Linked DNA regions of Stegostoma tigrinum. The protein of the gene in region 1 binds, or shares a complex with, the protein of each later gene. Links are inferred from orthologs where the notes say so. Each region holds a gene or a part of one and is shown in the gene's direction. Other genes may lie near its edges.

The links. The genes of interacting proteins can lie anywhere in the genome.
Region 2: lsm11 (region 1) and U7 snRNA-associated Sm-like protein LSm10 share a complex: the UniProt entries of both Homo sapiens proteins name them as parts of the heptameric ring U7 snRNP complex. The link is inferred for Stegostoma tigrinum from reciprocal best matches to the Homo sapiens genes LSM11 and LSM10.

Annotation. Positions count from the first base shown.
Region 1 is NC_081366.1:70,406,766-70,418,403, reverse strand, and holds the start of lsm11 (U7 snRNA-associated Sm-like protein LSm11), read left to right. Parts: upstream 1-5,846; 5' UTR 5,847-5,914; coding exon 5,915-6,308; intron 6,309-11,638. UniProt on the Homo sapiens protein: Component of the U7 snRNP complex that is involved in the histone 3'-end pre-mRNA processing. Increases U7 snRNA levels but not histone 3'-end pre-mRNA processing activity, when overexpressed. Required for cell cycle progression from G1 to S phases.
Region 2 is NC_081377.1:5,964,807-5,974,176, reverse strand, and holds U7 snRNA-associated Sm-like protein LSm10, read left to right. Parts: upstream 1-6,451; coding exon 6,452-6,817; 3' UTR 6,818-7,127; downstream 7,128-9,370. UniProt on the Homo sapiens protein: Appears to function in the U7 snRNP complex that is involved in histone 3'-end processing. Increases U7 snRNA levels but not histone 3'-end pre-mRNA processing activity, when overexpressed. Required for cell cycle progression from G1 to S phases.

The DNA of each region.
Region 1 (11,638 bases):
TGTTTGAACCAGGAGGTCAGGAGTTAAGTGGGTCTGGCAGAGCCCAAACTGGGCTTCAGTTAGTAGGTTATTGCTGAGTAGGTGCTGCTTGATAGCACTGTTTTCCAATGTTTCCTTGATTTGAGAGTAGATTGACAAGGTGGTAATCTACTGGCTGGGTAGGAGATAGGGCAATCTGTGAGGTTGCAGATTGTGCTGGAGTACAACTGTTCTTGTTGGATGATCCACAGTGCTTCATAAATGTCCAGCCTTGAGTTGCTTGATCTGCGTGCAGTGTGTCCCGTTTAGCTCGGTTACAGTGCCACGCAACACAATGGAGGATATTCTCAATGTGAAGGCAACACTTTGTCTCCACAAGGACTCTGCAGTGGTCACTCTTACCAATTCTGTCATGGACAGTTCCATGTGCAGCAGGCAGATTGATAAGGAAGAGGTCAACTATGTTTTTCCATCTTTAGTCCTGCACCAGCTGCAAACCCCGTCCAGCAGCTATGTTCTTTATGATCAGACCAGTAGTGCTGTTGCTGCTGCTGCTGAGCCACTCTTGGTAAGGGACCTCCAATCTCCTCTTTCCCCTCCAGCCCCCTTATATTGAGACTCTGTCCCCTGCTTCTAATTTCACCCCCCCCCCCCCCCCCCGCAGTGGAAACAACCTTCCTGCTTCTAACTTATCTATTTCTGACAATTTTATGTTTCTATAAGATCCCCTCCTCATTTGTGTAAAATTCCAATGTGTCTGTTCTGTCTACTCAATCTCTCCTCATGTAACCCCCTCAACTCTGGAATCAACCTAGTGAACCTCCTCTGCACCACCCTCCTGCACACACACAAGCCACTTTAGAGGGCAACTGGGAGGTAACAGATTTCCTTCCCTGAAGGGCATTAGTGAGCCAGATGGGTTTTCCTGACAATCTGCAATGGTTCCATGTCCATCAGCGGATTCTTAATTCTGGATTTTTAAAAATTGAATTTAAGGTCCACCAATTGCCATGGTCAGATTCAAACCTGATTTCCTAGAATGTTAGCTGAGTTTCTGGATTAATAGCCTACTGATTAGACCACTAGGTCATTGCCTCCCCTGTGTACCAATTTTATAATGTTCTGAGTGCAGGAGCAAATAAATCTCTCTTAATTTGTATGGATCACTGGTGAATCACACCTGGGGTACTGAATGAAGCTCTGGTCACTTTGCTTCATGGAGGATATATTTGTGAACTCAGTTGCATTTTGACTAAACTGATTTCTGGGATGGTGGAACTTTCCTATGAGGTGAGATTGAAGATCCTGGGCCTGTAGTGTTCTGAAGAATGAGAGGCGATCTTGGAAAAATGCAAAATTCCTTAAGGGATAGATGAACTCAATGCAGATAAGACATCTAGGAACAGGGGTCATTTAGGACTAAGATGAAGAAAGAAATCTTCATTCAGACAGAGGTGAACCTTTGGGATTCTCTACCCCAAAGGGCGGTGGAAGCTAAATCACTTTCAAGCTAGTAAGTGACAGTTTTCTCCTAAGGTTTTGGAGTAGATCTGTAGCTCAGGTTGTGGGTGCTGAGGTTGATTTGGTTTGTTGTTCCGCAGATGTTTTGTTACAGTGCTTGGTAACATCCGCAGTGCAGCCTCTGAAGAATTGGTGTATTTTCCCGCCTGGTTTTTAAATGTCTGTCATAATGGACCCCAGAGTTTAAAAACCAGGCGGAAAAACAATGCTTTGTCAGAGGCTGCATTGAGGATGTTACCAAGCATGGTAACAAAATGTCTGCGGAACAACAAACCAGCCAACCAACCTCAATGACAGTTTTTTCTAATTACTAATGCCATTAAGGAAATGGGGATAGTGTTGGAAAATGGCATTAATCATTAGCCAATACCTAGGAGCACATTTCAAGGGGCAGAATGGCCTTCTCCTATGTTCTTACCTGGCACCTTCTTGAATTCCATTTTGGAACTTCAAATACACTGCATCTACTTGTTCTCCTTTCTTTCAGTCCTGCTTCCTAGATCCCTTTTATGATGCAGTCTTATGCCACACTGAGTTTGGGTTAGGGATAGACTAATTGAGGAGAAGAAAAAGTCAAGTATTGCTCAGCCTTCGACTTCAAATGAACATTTCAGTGTACTTTTATTAAATACTACTTGACTTAGATTAGCCTGTAATGAATGTAACTGTCTTTGTATGTTCATGTCTAGTGCTTTATTCTTTCTGCCTAGAGTTCTAACCTTGTGTTTTCTAACTCCACTCACCAGTGCTATTTATGCTCAGTGTGCTTCTATGACGTTATCACAAGATTGCTGCAGAGTCCCGAAGTCTTTATACAGCAATGTCCTCAAGAGACTTGATTTAAAATTACCATGTCATATTTCTAGATGGATTCTAAGGTGGACCAGTGATAATAGAATGGGTGACAGGAATTGTTGTGGGTTTAGTTATGGATGGCAGAGTTCTGGGCAAATTTGAGCATACAGATGGTGCAAAGTAAAGGACCAGCCAGGACAGCATTAGAACAGTCAGGTCTAAGTAGTATCAAAGACATTGAGGATTTCAGCAGTGGAAGATCTAGGATAGGCGTAGAGTCAGGTACTCTTATGGAGTTGGACGACTTGGTGATGGGAGAGGAAAGACTGAAGCTCACGTGAGTTCAGGTAGGATACCAACGTTGTGAGCAGCCTGGTTGGGCCACAGACAAAATTTGGGAAGAGGAATTGCCTAGCTGGCAAGGGAATTGAATTTGTGCTGGGTAACTTATTTTCAATTCATGTGCTTGATTTCTGTTCATAAGGATTAGGTTTCACAAACTTTTGTGGTTCTAGCCCTAAACAGGAGTAGAGAATTTCAAATATTCACCATCTTCTGTTTGAAGAAATTCCTCCTCATCTTAGTCTTAGATGCCTTTTCCTCATATTATGTCCATGGTTTTTAGACTCCCAGTCAGGGAAACATCTTGTCTCCGTCCATCTTGTAACAATTGTGTAAGTTTTAATGAGATCATTATGGTTATATCACTGGACTATCAATCCATAAATTGAAGTTCATTTTCTGGCAATGTGAGTTCACATTCCTTTGTCATAGAAAGCAATACGTAAATTAAAAAGAGATTTGGAATTAAAAGTGAGTATATTGACAACCATGTAACAATTGATGAATATCATAAAATCCCATCTGATTCACTTAACACATTTTTAAAAAAAATCTCCTTCCCAAAAGGAAGTTTATTTATTGAACAGTCCCAGATATTTTAGTTTTTGTTTAAGACTGATTCTGCTGCTTCCTTTGCTCTCCTTGCAAGATTCCAAACAAACAGGCATTGGCACAATCCATACAGAGGCTTACAGAAACCTTGAAGTTCTTCAAAGATCTGAGATCACCTAGGCTTTCTCCTGTTTTGTATATATTCTATATATATTTTTGATTGGCATAACTGGTTCAGTTAGCTGAGTTGCCACTTGTAAGGAGATTCTTCTGCAGAAGAATCTCCTTTCTTATGAACTAAAGTAGCCAACTTCCTCTAGGAGGGTTTCAGTCCTTCGATATACAACCAGGCTCCAAGTCAAAGTGGAATGATTCTGACACCTCATTTGTACGAGGACTGGCAAATAATAGTTGGACTTGGTTCAATCAGCCAACCAGAAAAATTCACAGGTGTAAAGCAGAATAGACTAAAGTATGCCGAGTTACTGGCCCCCTTTGACCATTTGTTAGGTGTCCCACTGTCAGTTATCACACGGAAGAATATGCTGGAAGAGGCTTCAGCCTGGAGGAGTGAAAGGCAACATAAATTATTCACAGGAGAGTTGTACATACAGTTGGCATTGCTTGTAATCACATATGCTGCAACAAGGTGACTGCCTCTATTCAACATCTGGAGGAATATCGCTCTAGCCAGATACTCTTCTCAAGAATGACTTCAGTTTGTAAGAAGGGAAATTCTTCTGTAGGAGATCTATCTTTTCCTTGTCTGACTTGCATGTGACTTCAGATCCACAGCAATGTGATTGATCCTTAACTGCCGTTTGAAATGGCCTAGCAAGGCTCTCAGTTATATCAAGTCATTATAAAGTTTAAACAAGTGAATTATTCAAACACACTTCCTACGTCAATCTAGGCACTAAACCAACAATCATAAGCTCAGCTCTGTCAATCCTGCAAAGTTTTCCTTAAGATCTGGAAGGGTGGATTGAAATTGGGTGAGGTCTCCCACACCCTTATCATGCAACAGGTGGCCATTATCTGTAAGGTATAATTCCATGATTATGTGCCAGACACCATCACTTCCAACCCTGGGAATGTAGTATCCTATCAGCTGTGGTGGAACAATATTATATAATTGGGAGTTGCCCTGGACAACATCAATGCTGAGTCCAGATCTCGTAGCATTGGGTCAAACATGGGCAAGGAAACATGCTGTTAATGTACCATTTACTGCCACTTAGCTGAGGAACAAATACTCCTCCACGTTAAACACTACTTTGAGGACACCAGGAGACTTCAGTGTTCATCACCAAGAACCGATCAATAGCAACACTATTGGCTGAGACTTAAAGGACATTGCTGCTAGACTGGGTCTGCAGAAAGAGATGAAGGACCCAACGTGAGTTTTAAAAAAAACTTAATTCACATTGTCATCATTAATCTACATGTGGCAGGTGTTAGGTCTATTCTTGGATACTCTGAGTCGAAATGACTTCTTCTGAAATCAGACCGAACTCTCTGTTAACTCTGCTTCCCTCTCAACAGGTGTCTCTAGACGTGCTGAGTATTTCCAGCATTTTGTTTTTATTTAAGTAACTAACTGGACACCTTCCTTGTAGTAAGTGTGACCTTATATTGTGAATCAATAGCTTTTGGGGCCGGGAAAGGTGGATTGTAATAATTTTTAAAATATGTGTATCTCATAATTTATTTTGAGTGGGTCTGAGGGTTTCTTGTGATTTGGCTGTTACCAGTTAGACATCTTTCTATGCGCAAATTGGCTACTGCAAGATAGTGACTGCAATTGGAAAAAAAAAGCTAATTAACTATGAGGAGCTTTGATGGGTTTTGAACAAGGGTGTTATGTAAATTCAAGATACAATCAAACTGTTTGGGATTTGTTCTATTGGTTTTGTGGCAAGAGATGATGGATTCAAGACCTACTTTGAAATTTGAGCACCTAGTCTTGTTTGACATTCAGTCTAGAGTCTGGGAAGCCATCTTCTGAATACACTGAGGCTCCATCTATCCTCAGGTCAATATCAAAGGTTCATGTGAGCCTATGTGAAGATCAGAGACAGTCTCTGAACATTTATTAATCCGATCCCCAGCATGGTTCCAAAGTAACAAAGTATGTGGCCTGGTCTGTGAGTTGGTGCTTTGTTCAGATTGGCAGTGGCCTTTCCGGGCAACAGTGACAGCCCATTTGATTTTATTTTGTTTTGGAAAGGAAAGTCCGCGAGGGTAGTCACTTTGGGACTTGCTGCGAGGTGCTGTCTGAAAGACAAATCCTGGTTTGAGGTGGAGAAGGTCACACAATGCTCGGATAAAAGCAAAATACTGCAGGTTCTGGAAATCGAAAGAGGAAGTTGTAGATGCACATAAAGGAATCTGGATAGTGATATGTACAGGAAAGGCTAAAATCAGGCAACTGGGACAGTTTGGGAAACTTGGTTGGCATAGACAAGTTGGACCAATGGATCTGTTTTAATACTCAATAGAGTGATGGAAAATCTCATCAAATCTGACAGTATCTATGGACAGGGGAAGAGAGTTAACGTTTTGAGTCGAGCGTGACACAAGAACACCCGCATGCTTCACAACCGCTGCCGCCTTTCTCCAGCTTTTCGTTTCCGTCCCATAATGCCCAGCGCGAGTGGACCCAAGATGGCGGCCAGTTAAAGTACGCTATCTTAGCGGCGGGGAGAGAGCGAGCCACTGGGAAATGGCGGAGACCGAGAGCTCAGAGCCCGGGCCGGAGGAGGACGAGGCCGGGCGGCTGAATGTCAGCTCTCCGCGTTTTGACCCGTACTTGGCGCTGTACAGCAGACTGCCGCCGCCGCTGCCTTTCCCCAACGTCCGCACCTTCAACAACATTGCCGAGTACCAGAGCTTCCTGAGGCGGCGGCAGCAGCAGGAGCCCGGGGACCCGGCCCAGGCCCAGGCCCCCGGCTGCCACAGGGCCCGCGGGCGCCGCCGCAATGCCGCCTGGCCTCCCCCGGACCCCGACAGGATCGAGCGCCTCAAGAAGCTGATGGTGGCCGAGCAGAGCAGCGACGACAGGCCCAGGCCCCTCAGGAGGGAGCGGGCCCCGAAAAATGTGCTGACCAGGATGTCCCGTGAGTAACTGAGCCCGGGGATGGAGAGGGCCGTGAGCGATATTTGCAGCGTACATGCTGCATATATCTGGAGTTATAAAGGTTCCGCCTTGAGGTTGCAGCTTTTGGTGGGTGGAATCACGGAATCAAGTTGGAAAAGGAGCCCAAACTTATCAAAAGGAGCAAGGGGATCTAGGGGCTGAAGTTCTCAAATTAAGATCAAGGTTAGGGGTCAACGAAACCAGTTAATGATCCAAAATTGGCTCATTTCAAGAGTAAGGCCGAAAAGCAAAGTTACATTAAAAACAGAAGTTGCTGGAAAAGCCCAGCAGGTCTGGCAGCATCTGCTGAGATAAATCAGAGTGAACATTTTGGGTCCAGTGACCCTTCCTCAGAATATAAAGTTATATTAAAGGTTTGTGGAACATTGGCTGCACATGGCATTTGTAGTTTAATCGTACTTTTAAAAAAAAATCTAGAGGCAGTGGGCAAGGCATTAAAAGTTGGATTGATACAGATGGTACTGAAACTCAGTTTGTATCTCGGAAAAGTTGAACAGGCTGGGTCTGCTTTTGCAATTCACATTTTATGTAATTCTAAGTGCTCCTTAGACAGGAGAGTGAGGGACTGGATTATGATAGAATTTCAGTTACATTCCATTGTACTATGAATTCCTAATTTATTATGTTTGGCAAACAAAGCATCAAATAGTAAGTATAGGTATTAAATATACTCCCTGTGAATAAATCCTCAGTTGCTTCAAAGGCAATATAAACTCCTTTTTATTCATTCATAATGGAGTTTTGAAAAATATCAAAACAGTTGTTGTCCAAAGATTGCATCATGTGTGATTATGACGAAGGTGAACTATTTATTTTCTCGACCCTTCTACAGCCTTCTTCCAATGTGTCATCGTTAGCTGCCAGGTGTCTGTGACTGCACTTGCCTGGTTCTATTCTTGCTTGCGTAATTATAGCTAAAGAATTGTTGTCAGTGGGATTTGATTCCCATTCATGTGTAGTTACCAGGGATCTATTTTTGGATCCCTCCTTTTTCCCGTCTACGTGCTGCTTTTCCACAACACATCAGTAAAGATATAGTTAGTTGTGACATTTCTGCTAACAACCCACAGCTCTATCTTACCACCATAACCTCCATGTTATTTTAACATTATGTACCTTGTAAAAAAAAAACTAAGTGGTTTAAAAACATCCAGTTGCAAGCCACAAGCTTTTCCCTTATCATTAGATATGGTGCATACAGTTTGATTTGCATTCTTGACATAAACAATCCATATTTCTTTCCATAGCTTGGTTGTCCTGATCAGATACGGTGGATTTAGATAGATTGCAAATGTTTAAGGCTAGTGAAAACATAGAGTTTGGCTTGCACCAGACATTGGCTGTAAAATGTAGCTAGCTTGAAAGCAGTAGCTTGTGTAATCCATGAATGATTTTGAGTTTCTGAATATTAAGTGCTACAAAGACCAACATACCCAGTGCTGTGTGAGACCGGTGAAGTCGGGTGTTGTTCTCCTTTGGAAGAAAGGCCAAGGAAAGATTTAATAGAGGTGTTAAAATCTCACAACATTCAAGGCTTAGTGCAGAAAAGAGGGAATAGTGTAGGTGCTGTGAGAAGTGGAGAGGAATAATAAGGATCCTTGGGTACATGTCTGTACATCCCTTAAGGCTAGCAGGTTTTGAGCAGTGTCCTATAGTAGGAGAGACTTAAAGGGAAATGTAGAGGTGATATGATTGGTAGTTGGGGGATACCTTCCTTTATTTGCAGAGAACTGACTATGAGAGTAGGGAAGTTATAGGAGCATTGTTTAAAAGAAAACTAGTTGGGCCATAGCTGCAGTACTGCATAGAGTTCCGGTCACTGCATTACAGGGAGAATGAAATCACATCAGAAAGGGCACCGAGCAGATTTGTTTCTGGGGATGATGGCAAGAATTGAGAATTAGGCAATGGGGGATGTCTAAATTCACTGACTGAAAATATGGCAAAGATACAGACCTTCATCACAGTTTAAAAAATACTAAGTACTGTAATCTTCAAGGATCAAAAACTAGAAAGTGGGATTAGACTGAATGCATACTTTATCACTAGCATGAACATGATGGGCCAGATAGCCTAAGACCGTATGAACTGAAATAGGCATTTCAATCCCTGTTGCTTCCTCCTGTGTAATAAATAAATCTCTAGGTGTTAGTTTCTTTGGTTATTGCCACTGATTTGACCATTCTCTTCAGCAACTACCTGAGGCTGAACCAAACTGCAATTTTAGTAATGTATCTGTGTGGGTATCTAAACTGTATAAAAGATTACCTGTTTCCACCTCTGTAACCTTGCTCATTTCCATACCTACATCCGGTCTTCTGTTCTTGAAACCTTCATACTTAATCATTCTATTGTATTTCTGGCTTCTGCCCCATATTTTGTGTTTCATAAACTTGAGATCATCCAAGACTCCGATACCAAATCCTAACTAGCTCCAAATCCTGTGTACCTATTTCTTCTGAACTCATTTGTGTAATAAACTTTATTGATAAGAACAAAACTTGTGTGCTTATGTTACAGTAAAGTACAGCCATGTTAAATAAGAAAAACATATACGGTCTTATCAAGCCACATTTATTCTGAAATTTGACTTGTCCATTATAACCATCAGCTAGAATCACAATAGAATAGTGAACAACTCTGCAGATTTATTTATAGAGATCTCAACCCACTAATCTTCCTGGAGCATTTCCGGGAGACAGGACAGTGGCTCAGTGGTTGGCACTGCTGCCTCAACACCAGGCTCCCCTGGTTTGATTCCACCCTCGGGCGACTGTAGAGTTTGCACATTCTCCCTGTGTCTGCGCGGGTTTCCTCAAACAGTCCAGAGATGTGCAGGTCAGGTGGATTGGCCATGCTGAATTGCCCATATCATCCAAGGATGTGCAAACTAAGTGGATTAGCCATTGGAAGTACAGAGTCAAAGGGATAAGGTAGGTGGGGTGGATCTGGGTGGGATGCTCTTTGGAGGGTTGGTGCAGACTCAATCGGCTGAATGGCCTTCTTCCCCACTGTAGGGATTCTATCATTCAATGATGATTGTTTGATTTCCAAATCAAAATCTGAGACTTTCACTGTAGTTCAATGTGACAAGCATATAAGTTGAAAATAATTCCAATTAGTGAAAGCACAGTTTGCTTTGTCAATAGCAAATATAAAAAACAATGAATGTCGTGAATGGAATGAACTTGTATAGAACATGGTTGTTGTAAAAACCCTTGTGTTTAATGTAAATATATTAACACAAAATACATTTGGTGATTGGAGGAAATTTTGAGAGAAACCAATTAGAAATGGTTGGTGAGATGTGTGATGAACATGTTAAATGTAATCTTATATTTGGGATCTTGGATTCAAAAGTAGAATGAGATAAATTAGGTTTTGGTTTTCAGTCCTTTTTAAGTTCTGATTTTTCTTAAGGGTCACCAAAGTAATTTCATTCAGTGAATAGAGACATGAGAGAAAGCACGTGACATACTTTAGATGTTGCGAGTTGCCAGTGGAGATAACGGCTGGGTTGTTTGCCCAGTGGAACTTTTACAACCTACACAAAAGACAGTTGACTGGGGACCAAAAGCAGGTTGAGTTCAGAAGAAAAGACCATTCCAGTAGAAGGGTAAATTTTAGCCATTGGATGTCTTCAGGTCAACAGCTGGATTGAAATTTTAAGAAGTTTTAGCCATCTCAAGTTAGTGAAAATTAGAGCAGAGTTGTTGTAGTAGCCTGTCTGTGTCTCAGGGAGAGACAGATTTGGAAAAAATACATCTGGTGGATATGTAGAAAGCTGCCAAGACGGATCCCTCAAAATCTTGTTAGTCCCGTAAGAAATGCTAAAGTGAAGTTAGGACTGATACTTCACTTAGGTTCTGTATAAAGAATATTGCAGAGAAAATGGCTTATTCCATTTGCTGTTTAAGCTTTGCTTTTTTTCTTTTTGTGCAATAAACTTCAATTGCTAAAAGTACAGTGACAGCCTTGTGTGCACATGTTCAGTGACTGACCACCATAATAATCAATATGATAAAACTAAAGCTTATGTTTTAACAAACCAGGGTTTTTGCTGGAATTTGACTTGTCCAATATTGCCTTCAGTTGGGGTGATAATGCTTGTATTTTGTTGAAAAGAAGTCATGTTCTGCGAAAGGTTTCATTCTGCACTTGCCAGAACAATTTGTGGGCAAAACTGACACATATGCAGCATGAGAGAGTGCTGATTGGTTATTCGATGAAATGACCTCCCACTCTTCACGATATTCTGACCTGTCAATGATCGTGTTTGCTATATATGGTATTTCTCTGAATTAACCTGAGATGAAAGGCTTAGAAATGTGTCATGTTCTTTCAGTAACGTTCGAGCTCTGTGCTAACAAACGAGTGTGTATTGAATTAAATCCTACAAAACAATGCTGATGTCACAAGGCATATTTAACAGATTTGTGCCTAGTCAGCTGTAGGAAATATCAGTATGTATAAAAGTTTTGTAATGTGCAGTGTACATTACTGACACTTTAATACTGTGCTGTGTCTCTACTCCTCTCTCATTGATGTGACACTGCTATTTCCACAGGCAGAATAAAGCTCAGATACAATTCTGATTGCTTGCTCAATGAGTAAGTCTACAGACTGACAATTCATGAGCACATTGCTCCTTTTCACATCTTTCAGTGGAAGTTCATAAAGAACGCTGATAGCTTTCCCTAGTGGTTTAGTGTGTTTCTGCCCTCCATGTTGTGGCACTGACCACTTCACAGGTGATTTTTACAGGTTACTCTCAAATATAGTGACTGCAGCCTAAACCTGAGCAATGTCTCGGAACCTGTGTTTTCTGCCAGGGCCCCCAATCTTCACCATAATTCATTTGCTTGCTGACAGACAAATTGTTTGCATGGAGTTTGGGTGAGGACTGCATTAGACTCAGTTCCCAAACTTGACACTCACTGTCTCTGTACATCAATAGCAAAACTCAAGTAAGGTACTGGGAATGGAGAATAGCAGACCAGGAGAATCTAATCAGAATCTTTTAGGGAAGGATTAGACTCAGGTAAAAATGCAATTAACCGAGAATTAATTTAGACAGAAGGTGATTTGTCCTTGCTCGCTAGAGTCTGAAACAGTGTGTGTTGAGAGTTAGTGGGCGTTTGTGTTGGGCAAGTTTCTGTGACAGCGTGTGAGGTGTGTTCATCTCGAGCGCTGACTTTTGCTCTTTGTTTTCCTGTAGGAGCAGCTCGCCTCCTCCAGCCAGGAGCGCAGTATGGTGTGGGCCATGGACACCTCCATGACCGCTTTCAG
Region 2 (9,370 bases), on another chromosome or scaffold:
TACCCGAAACAACTTTTCCTTTAATTCCTCCCACTTCCTGCAGACTAAGGGGGTGGCCATGGGCTCCATGCCTGCCTCTTCACAGGATGCATGGAGCACTCCCTCTTCCACTGTTACATTGGCACTATACCCCATCTCTTCCTCTGCTACATTGATGACTATCAGCACTGCCTCGTGCTCCCACGAGGTGCTTGAACAGTTCATCAACTTTACTAACACCTTTCACCTCAACCTCAAGTTCACCTGGACCATTCTGATACCTCTCCCTCCTTCCTGGTCCCCTCTGTCTCCACCTCTGGTGACCGCTTCAAACCTGACATCTATTTCAAGACTTCTACAGCTACCTAGGCTACACCTCCTCTCACCTACCTTCCCCAATCCCACCCCTCCTTTTTATTTATTTCTGAGCTCCGTTCCTCTCCTCACCATCTTTGAGAAAGGGTCCTGACCAGAGATGTCAACATTTCTGCTCCTCTGATGCCTGGCCTGCTGTGCTCCTCCAGCTCCACACTATTGTCTATAATACTGCAAAGTTGTTGGCTGATCAACCCCTACAAGATATGGCATCTAAAACTGAACACCTATCAATCCAGTGTCACCCTTGACAAACCCTCGCCTAACAAGCAACACTTTATGAAAACTGCAGAAGAAAATTAAAACCTGCTGTAACCTCAGTTCTGATGTGCCTCAAGGGGGGCCACAGGCCAGGACCCTAGGGACATCTTTAGTTACTGAGCAATAATGAAACATATGCATTTATTTTGAATAGTTTTCTCATTTGTATGATATTTTGCATGCCTGTATCTGACCTACAAACAATGTTTCCACTTGCAACATTCAGACTTATTACGTCCTTAGGTGTGCTAATACCCAGCTCTACTTCAATACCAGGTTTCCCACTGCCTGTCTCTGATGTCTCACGCTACTTGTCAGACTTCAGCAGAAAGTTCTTCCAAGTAAAAATTTGGAAACTGAAGCCATTGTTTTCCTTCCTTGTTACAATTTCAGTTGTTTTGCCACTGAATCAGTCCATTCTCTGGCAACTATTGAAGCATAATTCAGTTTCACAACCTTAGTATCACAGGTAATTCTAAAAGAGTTTCCATGAGCATATTCATTTCATCAATAAAGCCTTTTTAGTTGGCCAACATAATATCTAATATGCTGCCACAAGTTAGTTTTGATAATTCTCTGAAGATTCTAGGATTTTGGGGTGGTGCTGGAAGACTGGAAAATTACAAATATCACGCCTTGTTTAATAAAGAACATCAACCTGGATCCAGCAATTACAGACCAGCCAGTTTAATTCAGATGGTGGGGGAGCTTCAAGAAACAATTATTCAGGATTTGATTGTCAGTCACAGTTTAAAAAAAGGTTAATTTGGGAGAATCATCGTGGATTTGATGAATGAATATTGTGTGTAACAAACTCTTTGGAGTTTTTTGAAGAGGTAATAGAGTAGACATAGTGTGCGTGAACTCCCAGAAGCTATTCAATACTTTTTAGGTATGTCTGATGCTGCTCCCTAACATGGCCTCTTCTGTCTCCGTTGAACTTGTCTTGATGGTAATGGATGAGTGGGGATATGCTGGGAAATGCTGGACCATGAGGTTGCATATTTACTGGGGTATAATTCTGCTGCTGTTGATGGTTCACAGTGCCTCATGAATGCTCAGTGTTGAGTTGCTGGATCTGATATTTTGGACCAGCTGTATGGAACAAAGCTGTGGAACTGTGCGTATTGTCAATATGGCATTCTCTCAGAATTCTGATTTCTGCATCACTATGAATTCTTACAAAAGTTATTCATCATACCCTAGATTTTGCTACAAACAAACAATATTAACAATGTGTATTAAGTTTATTCATTTGACTTTGAATAGAACGTAGCCTATTTTCTCTGATATTGTAAGGTTTTGGTAATTTTGAAAAAAGAACCAATGAACTGCAGATGTTGGAAATCAGTAATAAAATCAGAAATTGCTGGGGGGGGGTGTAAAATCAGCAGGTCTGGCAGCTTCTGTGGAGAGAAAGCAGAGTTAATGTTTCAGATCCAGTGATCCTTTTTCAGAACTGCTTTTGGCTTGGAAAAGGCTAGTATATACAGTAGGAGACAGTAGGAACTGTCGATGCTGGGGTCTGAGTTAACAAGGTGCAGAGCTGGTTGAACACAGCAGCCAGGCAGCATCAGAGGAGCAGGAAAGCTGATGTTTCGCGTCTGGACCCTTCTTCAGAAATTTATCACAGTGCCAGGGAGCCGGGTTCGATCCCACCATCGGGCGTCTGTCTGTGTGGAGATTTTGCATTCTCCCCATGTCTGCTTGGGTTTCCTCTGGGGTGCTCCAGTTTCCTCCCACAGTCCAAAGATGTAGGGGCTAGGTGGATTGGCCATGCTAAATTGCCTGTAGTGTTCAGGGATGGGTAGATTAGATGGATCTTACGGGGATGGATCTGGGTGGGATAGTCTGAGGGTTGGTGTGAACTTATTGGGCCAAAGGGCCTGTTTCCAAACTGTAGGGATTTGATGATGATGATTACTACCTGAATGGCTATAAATTAGGAGAGGAGAATGTGAAGTGGGACCGGGCTGTCCTTGTCCACCAGATGAATTCAAGTGATAGACATAGGACTGGGGAGAAAGCAGGATTAGGTTATTGAGTTGGTTGATTAGCCATTGATCGTGATGAATGGTAGAGCAAGCTTGAAGAACCGTATAGCCTCCTCCTGCTCGATTTATTGTGACATGTAACGAAATACAGTGAAAAGCTTTGTTTACAAATGGTACAGGCAGTTCAGAGCAAGCAAAGGATGTATAGATCAAAAAGACTTAGAGGCATATAGGTTATGTTATTTGCGGTTAGAGTCCATTCAACAGTCTGATAATGGCCAGAAAGAAGCCGTTCCTCAACCTGCATGTGCATGTATTCAGGCTTTTGTATCTTCTGCCTAACGGAAGAGATCATAGGAGATCATTACCAGCATGCGATGGATCTTTGCTGATAACAAAGTGAGGAGCTGGATGAACACAGCAGGCCAAGCAGCATCTCAGGAGCACAAAAGCTGACGTTTCGGGCCTAGACCCTTCATCAGAGCTGAGATGCTGCTTGGCCTGCTGTGTTCATCCAGCTCCACACTTTGTTCCTGAGATGCTGCTTGGCCTGCTGTGTTCATCCAGTTCCACACTTTGTTATCTTGGATTCTCTAGCATCTGCAGTTCCCATTATCTCGGATCTTTGCTGATGTTGGCTGCCTTTCTGCAGTAGTGAGATGTGTAAGTAGAATCCCTGGATGCAAGATTAGCTTCTGTGATGGGCTGGGCTGTGCACACCACTTTCTCTAGTTGTGTACAGTCCTGGGCAGAGCAGTTGCCATACTGGGCTATTATGCACCCAAACGGTATGTTTTCAACAGTACAACTGTAGAAATTGGTGAGGGATCTTATGGTAATATCAAATTTCCTGAGCTGCCTGAGGAAGAAGAAGCATTGTTGTACCTTATTGACTATTGCATTTGTGTAGGAAGTCCAGGGCAGGTTGTCAGTTATTGTCATACTGAGGAAACTTGATGCTCTTCACCCTCCTAACCTCAGCTCTGTTCATGTAGATAGGGGCATGTATCTTCTGTTTCTGTTTGTGGTAGCACCCCATGTGTAAATTAGGTCTGGTGTCTAAAGACATGGGAGAAAATTGAACTCGATATGGAGTCGTAAAAGCTGCAGGAAAAATGAGATGCTGCAACATACGTCCATTTTAACACTAATTAACACCACGTTTGGCCTTCATTTAGAATAGAATCCCTACCAACACTGGAAAGAACAGATGAAGTTTTGCTCGAAATCGATCGAATGGTCTACGTTTTCTTGGTTTCCTTCCTATGGGTTATATCTCCCTCATTACGACTACCCCGATACCACATTCTGATACAAATAGCCCGGACTAGGAACTGAGTCACGTGCTCTCACTTCCGAGCACAAGGCCCATTGCGTCACTGGAGCGGGCCGATACCGACGCACAATTCCGGTTCATGCCCCGCCCACAGCCCCGAAACGGAAGTTGCCGTTACCAGGGAGACGCGGCCTTCTCAGTGGGGTTGCCGACGGCGAAGGGTGAGTGACTCAACGGAGAATCGATCCTGTCCGGCCCGAGGGCTCATCGGCAATCCCAACTTTGAGGGTGCGGGCTGTCCACTGCCTCCGTCCCCGGGACACCAGTGTCCACTTAGGGAACAGCGTCCATGGTTTGACCAACCCTTCGGGAGATCCGTGTCCACTCGCTGTCTGTTAGTGAATGGGATGAATGACCATAATTGGGTCCCTTAAGGATCAACGCAGATAGAGACCAACTGCCTTTGGAAATCAGCAAGTGGCAGATTACCTAAATAATGATGAGGGTGACTCATCATGATGCTCAGCTTGTGTTCACGATGTGAAGATGCCGGTGCAGGACTGGGGTGGACAAGGTCAGAATTCACACAACACAGGTTATAATCCAACAGGTTTATTATAAATCACAAGCTTCCGGCGCAGCAGCAGGTAACGCCTGCAAAGGGGCAAGACTCAGAAATGCTTGTGATTTCACATAAACCTGTTGGACTATAACCCGGTGTCGTGTGAATTCTCATTGTACTAATCTAGGAGCCTAGTGGAAGGCACAATCATTTTGAATTAGAGGTTCCTTCTTCCGCACCTACACAGGCCCCAAACCCCACTTCCTCCGGTACATTGATGACTGTATCGGTGCCACCTCTTGCTCCCCAGAGGAGCTCGAACAGTTCATCCACTTCACCAACATCTTCCACCCCAACCTTCAGTTCACCTGGGCCATCTCCAGCACATCCCTCACCTCCCTGGACCTCTCAGTCTCCATCTCAGGCAACCAGCTTGTAACTGATGTCCATTTCAAGCCCACCGACTCCCACAGCTACCTAGAATACACCTCCTCCCACCCACCCTCCTGCAAAAATTCCATCCCCTATTCCCAATTCCTCCGCCTCCGCCGCATCTGCTCCCACGATAAGACATTCCACTCCCGCACATCCCAGATGTCCAAGTTCTTTAAGGACCGCAACTTTCCCCCCACAGTGATCGAGAACGCCCTTGACCGCGTCTCCCGTATTTCCCGCAACACATCCCTCACACCCCGCCCCTGCCACAACCGCCCCAAGAGGATCCCCCTCGTTCTCACACACCACCCTACCAACCTCTGGATACAACGCATTATCCTCCGACACTTCCGCCATTTACAATCCGACCCCACCACCCAAGACATTTTTCCATCCCCTCCCCTGTCTGCTTTCCGGAGAGACCACTCTCTCCGTGACTCCCTTGTTCGCTCCACACTGCCCTCCAACCCCACCACACCCGGCACCTTCCCCTGCAACCGCAAGAAATGCTACACTTGTCCCCACACCTCCTCCCTCACCCCCATCCCAGGCCCCAAGATGACATTCCACATTAAGCAGAGGTTCACCTGCACATCTGCCAATGTGGTATACCGCATCCACTGTACCCGGTGCGGCTTCCTCTACATTGGGGAAACCAAGCGGAGGCTTGGGGACCGCTTTGCAGAACACCTCCACTCAGTTCGCAACAAACAACTGCACCTCCCAGTCGCAAACCATTTCCACTCCCCCTCCCATTCTCTAGATGACATGTCCATCATGGGCCTCCTGCACTGCCACAATGATGCCACCCGAAGGTTGCAGGAACAGCAACTCATATTCCGCCTGGGAACCCTGCAGCCATATGGTATCAATGTGGACTTCACCAGTTTCAAAATCTCCCCTTCCCCTACTGCATCCCTAAACCAGCCCAGTTCGTCCCCTCCCCCCACTGCACCACACAACCAGCCCAGCTCTTCCCCCCCTACCCACTGCATCCCAAAACCAGTCCAACCTGTCTCTGCCTCCCTAACCGGTTCTTCCTCTCACCCATCCCTTCCTCCCACCCCAAGCCGCACCCCCATCTACCTACTAACCTCATCCCACCTCCTTGACCTGTCCGTCTCCCCTGGACTGACCTATCCCCTCCCTACCTCCCCACCTACACTCTCTCCACCTATCTTCTTTACTCTCCATCTTCGGTCCGCCTCCCCCTCTCTCCCTATTTATTCCAGTTCCCTCTCCCCATCCCCCTCTCTGATGAAGGGTCTAGGCCCGAAACGTCAGCTTTTGTGCTCCTGAGATGCCGCTTGGCCTGCTGTGTTCATCCAGCCTCACATTTTACAATCATTTTGAACATGTGCACGAGCTGGGGGAAGTGACAGTGATCACCCTTGACATCAAGGCAGAATTTGACCACTGATGCGACCTGACAAAATTGAAATTAATGTGTTTTAGATGAAAACTATCCACATGATCTGTTTCTTTTTTTCCATGCAGTTCTACCAGCTGGAGGGACTGTTAGGTCTGGTACTCGTCTTTCAACTGATTCAGAGTTTGTGAGCCAGCATTATGGCATTGAGCCATTCTATTAAAGAACGAACAATTGCAGAGAACAGCCTCATCATCCTTCTCCAGGGGATACATAACCACGTTACCACTGTGGAGCTTAAAGACGAGAGCTCAGTGAGGGGACGCTTTGTGAATGTTGATGCATTCATGAACATCCGGCTAGCTGAAGTTATATACACTGACAGACAGGGCAGAGTGTCAAACCTGGATGACTTCTTTGTGACTGGCAGAAATGTACGTTACGTTCACATCCCAGATGAGATTGATATAATTGAGACTGTCCAGAACCAACTGCAGAAAATCCACCGAGTGCGTAACTTTGGAGGAAAAGATCGAGGGAGGAGAGAATTTCCATCAAGAAAGTAGCAATGTGCTGATCCTGAGATGTGCTATCAAAACTTGGTGATGCATATGGGGGAAATAAAGGACAAGATCAGAACTCAGTGATGTTGGGGTTTGTATCAGGACAGTGCAGTCTTTAGGATTTCTGAGGACTGGATGGTGTTTGGGTGGGGGTTATAAGGACTGTGTGCTGTTTGAGAGACTGATCATCAGGACTAAGTGGTGTGTGCAGGGCTAAATACCATGGCTGTATGGTGTTTGGGGCTGTGTGTGTAAATATTATGACTGTGCATTGTTTGCAAAGGCTGGTGTGTTGGCTGTCTGAACTTGATGTTTTGGGGAGGGTGGGTGGGTATCTGAACTGGATTTTTTTTTCAGGGGGATGGATAGCCAGACTGGTGTTTGGAGAGAGTGTTTATTTAGGCTAGAGAGTGGGCATCTGATTGGGGAGTATTGGGCAGTGGTTGGGTAGATAATTGGACTGGGTGGCGGTGTGGAGTGTGGCGATCAGGACTGGCTGGTATTTGGGGGTGAGGCTGGAGTGGTGTTTGGGCACAGGATATTAGGGATCACTGGAGAATGGGACTGATCAGTGTGGCTGTGGATTTGTATGCCTGCCCAATTGGTCTGGTAAGACTGGCAGCAATCCTTATCGCCATGTTGTAAAGTTATACTTTCACACTCCACTGAAAAATGTGTGGGCCAGTTGTATTCTAGAACAGCACTAAGGGACACTTGTGGGCATTGTTGGATTTGCCATCTTACCACAGTATCAACTGTTTCAGTGGTTAACGTGACAGTACAGCTCCATTGGCAGTTTTGGAAGAATGGAAATTAATTTTAGCTTGGGATCTTGCTGTGTTGTACAGCTGCTGCATCCCAAAACAGTTCAGTGACGTGCACTTCACATTCCTTGTATTTCTTCATAGTTGAAGTATTCTAAGTTTTCTTTTAGATGTGGAAGGATGATATACAAATACAAGTTCTATCTCTATCTCAAACACTGCTGCTGTGTTTATGTCTGTGCTCCTAATAGATGATTGGATAATTCAGTTAGATTTCCTGAAACACTTGAGAATCCATGCTGCCATATCCATGGTTTCTGTCTGCCTGTTGTGTAGATCAGCAGGATCCCTGTGTATTTGAATCAAACACTGACAATAATGAATGATGGTTAGTATTGTCACTGGTCTGTCTCCTCTCCAAGCAGTGCTTTGTAAATAGAATGAACGGCAGAAGAAAATGCTCCCATCATGTGTCAGTTACTCCGTTGCAGTCATTACCATTATACTACAGGCAAATCATACCCATACTGACAATTCAATACAATGATATGCTTGAATGAATATCTTCTTTTAACATTGATGCCCCCATAAGTGAATAGATTGTCCATGTGTGTCTCCCCTTAGGTCACATGGTAGGGAACCCAATCCAGAGTTTGTGTTGGCAAGGACAGAGTCTTAAGTGTTTGTCATAGGTGTGGTCATTTAATTCAGCTGATAGCAAGCACTTCTAAACCAGTGACCGTGCTGAGCAAACATAACAATTTTGTAGTCACTGTACATACTTGAAGCTCAACACAAATTTATATCATTCTTTTCTCATTCTCTCTCCCCTCAAAAAGGGTGATTTTGTTTGGAGGTAGTTCAGTGATGACTTGGATTTTGGGTTATGTGGGGCAGGAAGCTCTCCTGCTCAGCAGAGGGAAAGGCATCTTTCTCCAACTGGACTCGAGTCAGTGTCTGGCGTTTTAAGAGTAAATTTTACAAGTTATGCTGGAGATGTTCACACTAGTTGGGTGCATTTTCAGTTAGTGCAGAACTAGCCTTTCTTATTCATCCCTAAATTGTTAACAAGGCTAGTATTTATTGTTGATTTCTAATTTCCCTTGAGAAAGTGCTGGTCAGCAACTGTATGGATCTCAAGTTAGTTGTACTGACACTGCTATTACACCATTACGTCATTCAGGCCATTGAGTCTGCTCTACTATTCAATCAGAGCTGGTATCATTCTCGTCCCATTCTCCTGCCTTCTTTCCATAATCCTTGATTCCCTTACTAATCAAGAACCTATCTATGTCTGTCTGAAATATATTCAATAACTTGGCCTCACAGCCTTTTGTGGCAGTGAGTTCCACAGATTAACCACCCTCTGGCTGAAGTAATTCCTCCTTGTGTCAATCCTAAGTCATTATCTTCGCTCTGAGGCTGTTCCCTTGGATCCTATTCTCTTCCACAAGTGAAAACATCCTCTCCACATCCACTCTATCCAGGCCTTTCAATATTCTGTAAGCTTCAATAAGATTTCGAACCTGTCCTCATATGATTCCTGGGATCATTCTCATAACCTTCTCTGGACCGTCTCCAAAACCAGCACATTTTTCCATAGATATGAGGCCCAAAACTTCTCTCAATATTCCAAATGCAGTCTGACCCAAGCCTTATATACTGTTAATAGTACATCATTGCTGTTGAACCTATGTGTTAACCTAGAGAATCCTAACTAGGACTCTCAATCCCTTTGAGCTGCAGATTTCTTAAGTCTTTACCTGTTTAGAAAATAGTTTATGCCTCTATT